Lonchura striata: one gene and its partners. The protein of the gene in region 1 binds, or shares a complex with, the protein of each later gene. Links are inferred from orthologs where the notes say so. Each region holds a gene or a part of one and is shown on either strand. Other genes may lie near its edges.

Region 1 (3,748 bases):
AATACAAACCTTAAGGTCAAAGTCAGCACAGCAGAAGTTTACTGCCTTTACAAATAACCACACAGTGTCTGCTTCACCTGCCAAGCAGAGCCTGTAACACTGACACAGCTGGCAAGGGTTGCCAGCATCGCCCAATCCTAAGGGAAACGGAGTCACACACTCTACTATGGTATCTGCTACAGGTGAAGTGACAGATCTGTCAAACCTTCCTGATGCCACTGCAGGCAATATAAAAATGACAGAGAAGAAAAAGTTATTTTTCATCATTACACTGACTTCTTGAAACATATCATGCTTTCTCTGGAAAATGGGCAAGGCAAATGGAGGAACGGTAACTTAAACATTGCCCATTCTAGTGAACAGGGAAAGTTCATTTAATAAGCAATAAACCACAGCTAATTATTAATTACAGTCGTATCAAGTGGCCCATGACTTGTATTAATCAGTCTCTAAATGGAGCACAGCATCCATGACTGAGCTGCGCTAAGTTGAGAATGTCAGCTCTGTCCATAATTTATGATGATCCTCCATAAATCTGTTCAGTTAACACAATGACACCGGCCATGTGGGCACATTAACCAATTTTTTTCCTGACAGTTGTTGGAGCTGTAACAAAGACTCGCATGGAGCAGCCAGAAGCAAGATTTCCACTCTGAGTCACTTCTCTCTGAGAATCTTTGGATGTGGAAGGACTTGGTAGCTTGATGAACTTGTGTGGTGTCACCAGAAGATGTCTGCCCTGTTCTGTGCACACCTATTGAAACTAGTAAATGCCCTAGTTTTAGCTTGGCAGTCCACAGTTTGTAAGAGATGTCATCTAGATGCATTTTATATGGAATAATTTCCTTTTCTGTAACACTCAAGTACTTTGTGCATGAATCCACACATACAGCAACATATATCTGGTTTTTAGCTACACTATGTTTTTATTAAATCCTTGCACTCTTTGAAAACAACATCCACACAAACCCTATGGAGATCACAGAATCAATGAGGTTAAAAAAGACCTCTGAGACCATGGAGTCCAGCTTTTAACCAAACACCATCATGTCAACTATACCACTGCACAAAATGCCACATCCAGTCTTTCCTTAAACACCTCCAGGGACAGTGACTCCACCACCTCCCTGGGCAGCCCATTCCAATGTCCAATCACCCTTTCACTGAAGAAATTCCTCCTAATGTTCAATCTAAACTTCCTCTGCTGAAGCTTGAGATTATGCCCTCTCGTTTGTTGCCTGGGACAAGAGGCCAATCCCCATCCAGCTACACTCTCCTTTCAGGAACTGTAGAGTGTGGTAAGGTCACTCCTGAGCCTCCTGTTCTCCAGGCTAAACACCCACAGCTCTCTCAGCTGCTCCTCATCAGACTCATGCTCCAGACCCTTCCCCAGGCTCCACTCCCCTTCTCTGGACTCTCTCCAGCACCTCCGTGTCCTTCTAGCAGTGAGGGGCCCCGAGCTGGACACAGCACTCGAGGTGCAGACATACAGAACTGTAGGCACGAAAACACATGTTTACATTCTGTCTTCCTGTACAGCCAGGTTCCTGCTGCTGACACACAACACAAGGTCTCTGAGCTGTTCCCTGCGCATTCACCAGTGCCCCCTAGACACAGTGTGTGCACGCCCTGACCCCCAGCCCTGCGGAGCTGCTCGCACCGTGCGCGGCACGGGCTACGAATACACGAGCCCTTCCTGCCCCCATGGGCGACAGCCAGGTCCGGAGCGCCGGGCAGCTCACGCTCCCCCGGGACAGGACGCTGCTTCCCCCGCACTGCCCCGACCCCCGCGGGCAGGGCGGGCTGTCACTGCGCCCCGCCCGGCTCCCGCTTCCCGCCCCGCCTGCCCGGCAGGTGCCGCCCGGGCGGGGCGGGGGCCCGGCCCCGGCACCCCCGAGGGCAGCGGGGGTCGCACCCTCGGCACGGAGCTCCCCGCCCGCCGCTCGGGCCGGGACCGCGCCCGGGAGGGGCGGCGGCGGGGGGGGGGGGGCCGGCCCGGCCCGGTTGCCAGGGAGGAGGCTCGGGCTCCGGCCCCGCACAGCGCCCGCGGCGGGAGGGAGGGAGCGAAGAAGGGAGGCGGGCGGGCGGCGGGGCGCGGCGCGGGTGTCCCGCCGGGACGAGGGGGCGGCGGGAGCGGGGGCGCCGGTCCCTACTCACTCTCGTCAGGCAGCTGATCCAGCTCCGCCATCTTGAACGAGCCGCGCCGCTTTTTCAAAGGCTGCCTGGCGCGGGGCATTCTGGGGGAGGAGACGGGGCCGGGCGCGCGGCGGGCGCGCGCGCGGGGCGGGGCCTGCGCCCGCGCGGGGCCGGGCGGCGGGGCCCGCGCGCCGCTCCCGGCAGCCGCGGCTCGGCAGCGCGGGAGGGAGCGCCGCCGGCCCGGGGCCCGCTAAGGACTCGGAGCGGACCTCACACTACTTCCAGTCGAGTTCCAGCTCCCTGCCACCGGCTCCCACTAGACCAGGTTGCTCAGAGCCCCATCCGAACTGGCTTTGAACGCCTCCAGGGCTGGGCTAGCCAGAGCTGCTCTGGGTAACCTGTTCCAGTACCTCACTGGAAAGACTTTTTTCCTAATACCTAATTTTCCCCTCTTTCAGTTGGTACCCATTACTCATGGTCCTGTCGCTACTGCAGCTCCTGACAGTCCCTGTCTGGCTTCCTTCAGATACTGGAAGGTCGCCATGAGGTCTTCACACAAACTTCTCCACGCCTGAAGAGCCCCAGCTTTCTCATCCTGTTGTCATAGGGTAGGTGCTCCAGTCCTCTTATCACCACCATGCTTCTCTAAATTTGCTGCAGCAGTTCCCTGTCGATTCTTACGATGCGGGATGGGGGGGAATGTGTGATTGGCAGTTCAGGATGGGAGGAAAGGGGTGGAGGTGTTGGCTGTCACAAAGGATCACCCCGAAGTAGCTGTGCTAGCTTTGAGTCTTTAAACAATCCCATTACATTATACCCATCCTCCTTCACTGAGTAATAACTTTTTGCTAAACTCTGCCAGTTTTCCTTGTTGCTTTTCATAAGTGACTGCTGAGGTGAGGCTCCAGGAGTCCGGGATCACAACAATCCCGGCCCAGCCAGCCCTGGCCCTGCTGTCACAGCCTGTGGCACCTCGCCCAAGAGGCGGCTGAAATGCTCACCGAGCCCAAGGCCTGAAGGTCAAGGTCTCACTTGTTCTCACCCGGTGCCAGGGAAAGCCAACAAACCACAGAAGTGGGTGGCTGTTGCCTAACAAGCTCCTTGTCTTGGCCTGCCCTCTACCATCACACCCCTGAAAGCTTTCTTCAAGCAGCAGCAGTGGGTTTTTTTGGTGTAGTTTTCTCAGATCTCTGCACTACAGTGAATTCTAAAGTATCAATAAATATAAGCATGGAAATACCATCATGAACCACAAGCACCTTAATTGCTCATGGACCACACTCTCCACATAGTTTGGCTTTGATAACACTATTATACCAACCAAAATTCCTTTTTTTAAGGTATAAAAATAAATGTAAAAATGCAAATTGAGCCTCAAAATAAATAAACAGTATATCTTAGTAAAGGCTAAATCTGTGTCACATGTTAAACATATTGCCAAGAGCACAGTGGTATAATACAAAATGGATGCTATGCCTCATTGTATGCAGGTCTTTGAAAGCACCTAGGTGAAACCAAAGATTCTACACAATACAGAAAATGTCTATCTTGTGACATGGAATAGAGTTTGTGTTCTTAATTTGCTAATGAACTCAGATGACTAGGCACTCTA
Region 2 (3,748 bases), on another chromosome or scaffold:
GTTAAAAGATGCTAAGAATGGCCTTTCTTCTTGGGAAAAACATGTACAAACGGAATACAAAGCAAGTTATTTAAAACTATTTATAATTACAGAGTGAGGTGGGTTTCCCCCTGTCCAATTTAGATTATTCTCTCCTTTTCAAACTTGGAGGCAATTATTACATGGATTGTGCTTGACACTAGGAGTCTAACTTCTGGATCCAAGGCCTATGGGCATATCAGTATAGAACGAGATGATGCTTTGGTTTGAGGTTTATTTTTTTTGTGTCTGAAATAGTTTGAAGTTTTGCTATCTGAGCTGCAAGCCTTTTCAAGTAGCTGAGGTGACAGTCAAGTGACACAGCTCAGAAGAAGGCCTAGTGACCTTAACGTATGCTGTATTCAAAAACAGTCTACTTTGGAGTAATCATCTATGCAGTTAACCTATTTGACTTTAAGGCAGCAATATGATAGTACTACTAATGTGTCTCTTGGAGCTGGCTGTTTTGTCTAGGGCTGCTTACCAGGGCTGGCATCACTGTGCAGGCATTACTGGGGGAGAAATGCTTTCCATAGGAGGTATTTTTGGCAGTGACATCAGATAACTTTGTATCTTTAAATGCCTGCCAATAAGGGAGCTGGGAGTTTGACTGTCAGTGCAGTCCTTTTGGAGCTCAGGCTTCTTGAGTGTCAGGGCAGTTTGGTCTGGCTGGCACTCTGAGGTGAGGGGGGTCAGAGTGGCACCCTTGGCAATCAGGGAGGCCAGGACTGTTCCAGCATAGTCTCTGGAGCTCGGTGTGGAAACTGTGTAATTCTAGCAGGGCTTTTTTCCCCAATCCTTCCACCTTGTGGGTGAAATGCAGCTGTTTGGTAGTTAGCTGCTGTACAAAACGGGCCCACAATGACTCCAGAGGAAATAATGTCACTTGGGCATTTGGTTGGTGTCTTCACTGGCATGGTTCCTCATGAATTAGTATTAAAACTCAGCTCTGCTTTTCCTAGCAAGTAGGAAACAGAATTTGCAAGGGTTTTGTCCCCTTGAGCTTATAATTAGTACTCAGGAGCATGTAGGCAGACCCACATGGTGTGCTCACCCGTCCCGGGCCCAAGTGTGCTCATGGGGTCAGCAAGTGCAGAAAATGCCTTATTAAGCTGATCTGTTTTCAGACTCTTGACACTGATACAACCTTAAGGGAATGGTACAGTTCCACCATTTCCAGCAATGTCTTTAGGTTTTCTCAAGTGGAAGTGGCTCTGGCTTTGAATCTCGCTGCAGGTGTTTGTTTAATATATAATTTGGGTGATCTTAAAAAAAAATCCCTTTTTTTTCATACAGTGTGTTATTTGTTTTGTTTTTAGAACACCTTTAAAATGAATAATGAATTTGTGTGTTATAAATTTTCTGGTGAGTATTGAAGTAAAAAAATTACTGAGCTCTTTTCATAGCTGGCATCAAGGGATTATCTCTTCATCTTGTGAGTGGCAGGGCTTTGGATTGATCCTGTGGTAGGTGGCTGTTGATTGAGCTTTTGGGGTTGTTCAAGTCCATCACTAAATAGTCATTTGATTTTATCAGAGATTTCCAAAATGAAAATTTGGTGATAATGCTACATCTGGTATGGATAATAAATCTCTTGAGTAAGATAACCTGCTAATCAGTGTTGGCATGTATAAGAAAACATCATCATCTATTTGATTTTTTAAAAGCTGTTTATCTCTTGCTTTATATTTCAGTGGGTTTAAATGTCTGTGCCTATATTTTCAGGGGGGAAGCACTGCTTCTTGGTGTACTGTGGTGTAAAGAGTGGAGTGGTAATGCCTTTATTTTACTTCAGCAAATGATGTTGTAAAGGTTTGATATAAATTATTACCAAGACTCAATTCAGCCTAGTAGGTTATATTTTGTTAACAGTTTTTTTTCCCATGATATCCCTCCTGTGCATGCACAATACTTTCAGTCTGAAAAAAATTGACTGTATTTTCTTCTTTGGTAATTTTATTCATAAAGCTTTGAAAATATGTGTTTTCTGGAAGCCAATAACTTTTTAAAATATTGCAGTACCTGCTCCGGCCATCACTGCCACAGCTACTAAGATGGAGGTGGTTTCAGCAGAAGTGAACAGCTTGCTCCCTGAGGAAATCATGGACACTGGCATAACTCTGGTGGAAGATGACAGCATTGAGGCTGTTATTGTGTCTTCGCCAATGGGAGAGTCTATTCCCATGGAAACAGAACTGGAAGAAATAGTGAACATAAACTCCACCAGCGACTCCTCAGCCACGACTACAGCCACAGTCACCACGGAATCGGTCCCTGTGCCCAGCAGCCACTCAGGAGATACAGCACTGACCACCACAGCCCCAAGCCCTGATGTGAATGCAGCTGTAAAGCCTGCCTTCCCAGGTGGCCTCCATAAACTTGGTGCTCAGACCCCTGTCACTATCTCAGCTAATCAGATTATTCTGAACAAGGCCACTGATATTAAAATAGGCAGTCAGAGTATTAAACCAGATGGGCAAAAGCTGATTGTAACAACTTTGGGCAAGTCTGGCCAGCCCATTGTTTTAGCACTACCCCACAGCCAGCTCCCGCAGTCGCAGAAGGCCGTGTCCCAAGCCCAGGGTGGAGAGTCCAAGGTACAAGGCCAGCAGATCAAAGTTGTCATTGGAGGTCGGTCGGAAGTGAAACCTGTTGTGGGTGTCTCAGCTTTGACGCAGGGAAGTCAGCTGATAAACACTGCGGCCCAGCCCTCTGTCTTGCAGTCCCAGCAAGTAAAAACAGTACAGGTAAAATGAGTTATGCTGATGAAACTTCCTAAAACCAGTTCTGTTGCTGCAATTGTTGTCTGTTTCCTGCACTGATTGACACACTGTTGCTTTCAGCCTTTGCATTTGTTCTTTGTATTAAAAAATACAATGCTGCTCTTAGCCCATGCTTTCATCTGTTGATGCGTTTGCCATTTTATGCTGTTTGCCTCTAGCTACTGTCTAGAAACTTAGGGTTTGCCTCAGAGAAAGTGAACTATTCAGTAAATTGAAGATAATTTTATCATTATTTTCATTTATAAAAATAAATTCTACATACTCTCAGGAAGACTGAATTCAACTTTATATGCCTGTTGTTGTTTACTCAAAGTATACCCTCCTTTATGGAAGAGTACCTTCTGCCTATTACGTTCAGTTTGTTTAAATAAACTCTCTGAAAAAACTTCTAGCATCTGTAAAAAAACAGAAGGGTGTATCTGGTCTGCTTCAAATCTAGTTATCATAAGCTGAACATTCAAGGTTTGGTTCCTAATCTCTGGCATGGATCTTGAGATATTTGAAACCACAGAGAATCTGCTTGGATCTGAAAATGTGTTGAAAAGACTTGGGTTATGACTCAAAGAGTCTGATTCTCATCTGTTATGTGGCAGAACTAAATGTGAGTGACTTTGTTCTATTGGTAGTGAGGCAGAAATGAGACTTCTTAAAGTGAAAGACAATTAGAACTCAATGCAGATTATGATGGGAAAATATTTATTTTACTGCCTAAATGAAATGTGAAATTAAACTCTTAAGTATGCTATTAAAAATAATCAGCTGCACATAAAAATGACAAAGTTTAAAGAATTTTATTAGCCAAATGTTCCTTGATTAGTATTTCATGGCAGGTGAATAAGATCAATATTTTCTCTAAAGTTGCAGATGATTTCTACTGCACTAATTTCATTCTCCTTTTTTGTTGCTACATCATATCTGGAAACATTTAGTAATGGCCATTTGAAACA
Region 3 (3,748 bases), on another chromosome or scaffold:
TGTGAATGTATCTTGCATAACACTGACAATATTGATAAAAGTTTTTGTTACATGTTATGGAAGTGTTTTTTACAGGATGAAAATAAACTAAAACCACAATCTGCAAATTCCTAGGCACATGCAAGATTTTCGGTTGTAAACTGCCCCATTGAAATAAATATAAAGGTCTTGTTTGCTAATATTGCTAATATTCCTTAGACTGATATTTAGGAACTCCACTTTATAGGCTGAACACTTGGTTTTTTGGTGTTACTTCCCTTTTTAGTGAAGGGTACAGGATCAAAAATATGTCTTTCTAGAGTATTTAATGTTTGTAATGCAAGAAAAACAGAAGCTTACCATGTATGTTTTGCAGGAATCTAAAGCACATAATAGTGTTTGTGTCCCCATAAACCTTGTTCTGCTCAGCTTGCTCAGTGGCATTAAGCTGCGTTTGTGTTAGAGAAATATGCAAAATGGGTAACTGCACGCCTTGGATGTGTGCCTGGCTGCACTCGAGAAAGACTTAACAAATGTTGCATCGTTGTGCTGAATGGAACTAGTGCCGAATTTATTTTTTTTGCTCCCAGGAGTGCTTTCTATTTATATGGTCTCTGTAAGAATATGTAACCCTGCTTCGTTGAAACAGTTTTTTTACAGCGTTAAGGATGTTGAAATCAAGCACTTAAGGCTTTTCCAAGGCGCCGAGCTGGGTCCGGGTTTTTGCGGGAGCGGGTCCCGGGTCTCGCAGGGCGGAGGTGCGAGGGCGCGGTCGCTGCTCCGGGCCCCGCCGGCGCTTTGTGGGCCCGGGAGCCTTTGTTCGCAGGGGGAGCGCGGGGCTGGGCACGGTGCACCGGCCCTGGCCTCCGTGTGCCGCCGGCTCCGCGCCGAGGCCGGACGTTCCTGCGGCGCCCGCGGCGGGGCTGAACTTTGCATCCCGGGACGCAGCCCCACCGGCTCCTCGCAGATAAGCGGCACGGCCGGCGGCCGCAGCCAGCGCGGCGCCGCGCGCTGTGTGTAAATACAGGCCTATAAATATGTATGGGTTTGTGTATTTATACGCTCCGTACCGCCCGCAGCACCTGGGCGCCGCTGGGACAGGTGCGGCCGCCCGGAGCCGTCGCGGGGATCGAACCCGCGCCCTGACAGCGGCCGGCGCGCGCCGCGGGGGAGAGGCGGCGGCCGCGGGTCCCGGTCGGTCCCGGCCGGCCACGCCCTTCCGCCCCGCCCCCCCGGCCCCGCTCCCGCGGATTGGCGGGCGGTGTGTGTACACACACGGGTTCGGGCCAATGACGCGGGGAGGGCGCCTGACGTCACGCGGCGCGGCGGCCAATGGGCGCTCCCGGCCGGCAGACGCCGCCAAGCTTGTGCGGGGGAGCAGGACCGGGCAGCGCTGGGCGCGGGGCGGGCGCGGGGGGGCGGCGGGGCCGGGCCGGGCCGGGGGCGCTGCGGGCGCTGCCGCCGCCACGCACCGGGGCCGCCGAGGGTCCCGGCTCCGGGGCCTCCTCGCCAGCGGCGAGTGCGCGGCGCCGGCCCGGCCGAGAGGCGTCGTCGGCGCGACTCGATCGCTCCTTGCCGCGGCGGCTGCCAAGGGACCGTCGCCGTCTCGTCGCCTCAGCGTTGCTGTCTGGGCCCAGCCCGCGCTGCCGCCCGCCTTACCTTTCGTCCCTGGCCGGTCCTGCGGGTGAGCGGGGGGCGGGGGCGGGTGTGGGGGGCTGTGGGGGGAAGGACAGCCCCTTTCCTCAGCCATCAGCGGCCGCCGCCCCCCGTGCCCCGGGCAGCGCGGTCCCGCCGGCCCTGCCGCCCCCTCCCCGGTGCCCCGGGCAGCGCGGTCTCCCCCGCCGCGTCCCCCCGGTGCCTCAGGCCGGGCGGGCGCCCCGGCAGCGTGGGAGCCGGGGCCCGACACCTGCGGGCGGGCCCGGGCGGCGGTGACAGCCGGGGCGCCTCCTCCATTGTGGGGAGCGCGGCGGGGCCGGGCCGCGCGGGGCTGTGCGGGCTGCGGGGCGAGCGGCGGCCCGGCCCGGAGCGGCGAGGCTCCGGCCGAGCTCCCGGCCCTGCTCCGTGCCGCCCGGACTTCTTGTCGGGGCGGTTCTCACCCGCGGGTCCTACCGGGAGAGGGTCAGTCCGGCACAACAACAACAAAACTTCCCTGCCTGCCTCTTCCTGGGAGTTACAGGCCTGCCCGGGCTTCCAGCGGTACAGGGCTCAGCGGCAGAGGTGAACCCAGTGTAAACACCGTCTGTTGGAGCTGAGAATACAAACAATAGGAGGAAAATACGGAATAAGCAAACTTCCTTGAAATGTGGAAGAAAACCGCAAATGAGAGCGTTCTCTCTCACTGAGTAAAGGTTTCTCCTCTGAAGAAAGGGTTGAAATGAAATGAAACTTTGGGTTTCATTTTCTCTGTAATTTCTCTGTAAATTCTTGATTTGACAGAGAAAATGAATAGTTTTAATTGATATACTGTAGTATGCTGGGTAAACATTTTTTACAAATTATTTCTTGGTCGGTTTTCATAATTCTGAAAGCAGTTCAATTATTTTTTTGACTCTTCATTAATATGGCTCACAGTGACTTTTTTTTCAACTACTATCACTGATGTAGCTTAATTATGTTGACAAAAGATAGTAAAATGTTGGAGGTTGTGTGGTGCTGTAACAAATTGCAACTTGGTACAATCTTTGATTCAAAAATAACATGCTGGTAAAAATGGATGCTGTTAAAAAAGAAATAAATTCCATTTTCTCTATTCCTTTACCCTTCCCAAATTAACTTCAGTTCTTTTGATTATACATACACAAAAAATACACAAAAAGGGATCTTTATAAGTGTGGCAAAGACTGAGAGGACCAATGTTACAGGGCAAATGCAGAACTGTGTTTCACAGCCCATATGTATGCCAATGCTGTGTGTACTCACTGGTGTTTTTTACTCTGTGAAGTATTGAATTTCAGGAACTTCTGTTCAAACTAACGTGTAGGGTGTTAAATATAGCACTTTGAAAAAACCATGGAGGACTAAGAAGAAATTTGTGTTATAGAAAAGTCTTGGTGGGAGAGGTGGTCAAAAGGAAAAAAAAGTCAAGTTTTCTTTTGAAAAGTTTCTTACTGTGAAGTGAGTCTAGTGCCTTTAGAAGAGGACAGAGTAACAGGTCAAATTATTTACTTCTATCCTAGGGGGAAAAAAAAGAAAATTATTAAATATTAATAAGATTGCCTCATGGGTAAATTTAAGAGTGATCTTATATTACTGTCAAATTGTTTGGCTTTTAACCACTTCCTCTTTGAACAAAAATCAGTACTGCAGCAAAGCAAAAAGAAACCATTTGACTTGTACTATCTTAATAGAATTAATTTTATGGAAAACACACCAGTAAAAGGAATGCTTTGATTGCTGCAGAGGGTTCTGACTGGTGGCCTTTACAAAGTGGGAAGGTACAGTTTTCAGAACAGCATCTTGGCAGCAGCTCTCCCGTGTAAAACGCACAGGCCAAGCAGCCCAGCTGGGCAGCAGCAGTGCTGTTCTGCAGGAGATGTCAGTAACACAAGAGAATTCCTTACCTCTGTCTACTCTTGTCCATGTTGGACAGCACTGTAGAGACCTCTGGTGCATCTGGACACACTTCCTGAGTAGTTGTGAGCACCCTCCCAGTGAGGATCTTTCAGTAGCTTTGGCTAAAATTGTTACAGGTTTAGTGAAGAAACAGGGACCAAAATTCCAGCATTACATCCTCTTCAAGGGTGTATGATGTTACTTGGTTTAGATGTGC

The links.
Region 2: LIN9 (region 1) and LIN54 share a complex: the UniProt entries of both Homo sapiens proteins name them as parts of the DREAM complex. The link is inferred for Lonchura striata from reciprocal best matches to the Homo sapiens genes LIN9 and LIN54.
Region 3: LIN9 (region 1) and TFDP2 share a complex: the UniProt entries of both Homo sapiens proteins name them as parts of the DREAM complex. The link is inferred for Lonchura striata from reciprocal best matches to the Homo sapiens genes LIN9 and TFDP2.

What each region holds. Positions count from the first base shown.
Region 1 is NC_134605.1:17,660,808-17,664,555, forward strand, and holds the start of LIN9 (protein lin-9 homolog), read right to left. Parts: upstream 2,237-3,748; coding exon 2,158-2,236; intron 1-2,157. UniProt on the Homo sapiens protein: Acts as a tumor suppressor. Inhibits DNA synthesis. Its ability to inhibit oncogenic transformation is mediated through its association with RB1. Plays a role in the expression of genes required for the G1/S transition.
Region 2 is NC_134606.1:60,955,353-60,959,100, reverse strand, and holds the start of LIN54 (protein lin-54 homolog), read left to right. Parts: upstream 1-1,264; 5' UTR 1,265-1,349; coding exon 1,350-1,383; intron 1,384-2,037; coding exon 2,038-2,765; intron 2,766-3,748. UniProt on the Homo sapiens protein: Component of the DREAM complex, a multiprotein complex that can both act as a transcription activator or repressor depending on the context. In G0 phase, the complex binds to more than 800 promoters and is required for repression of E2F target genes.
Region 3 is NC_134612.1:12,734,670-12,738,417, reverse strand, and holds the start of TFDP2 (transcription factor Dp-2), read left to right. Parts: upstream 1-1,487; 5' UTR 1,488-1,663; intron 1,664-3,748. UniProt on the Homo sapiens protein: Can stimulate E2F-dependent transcription.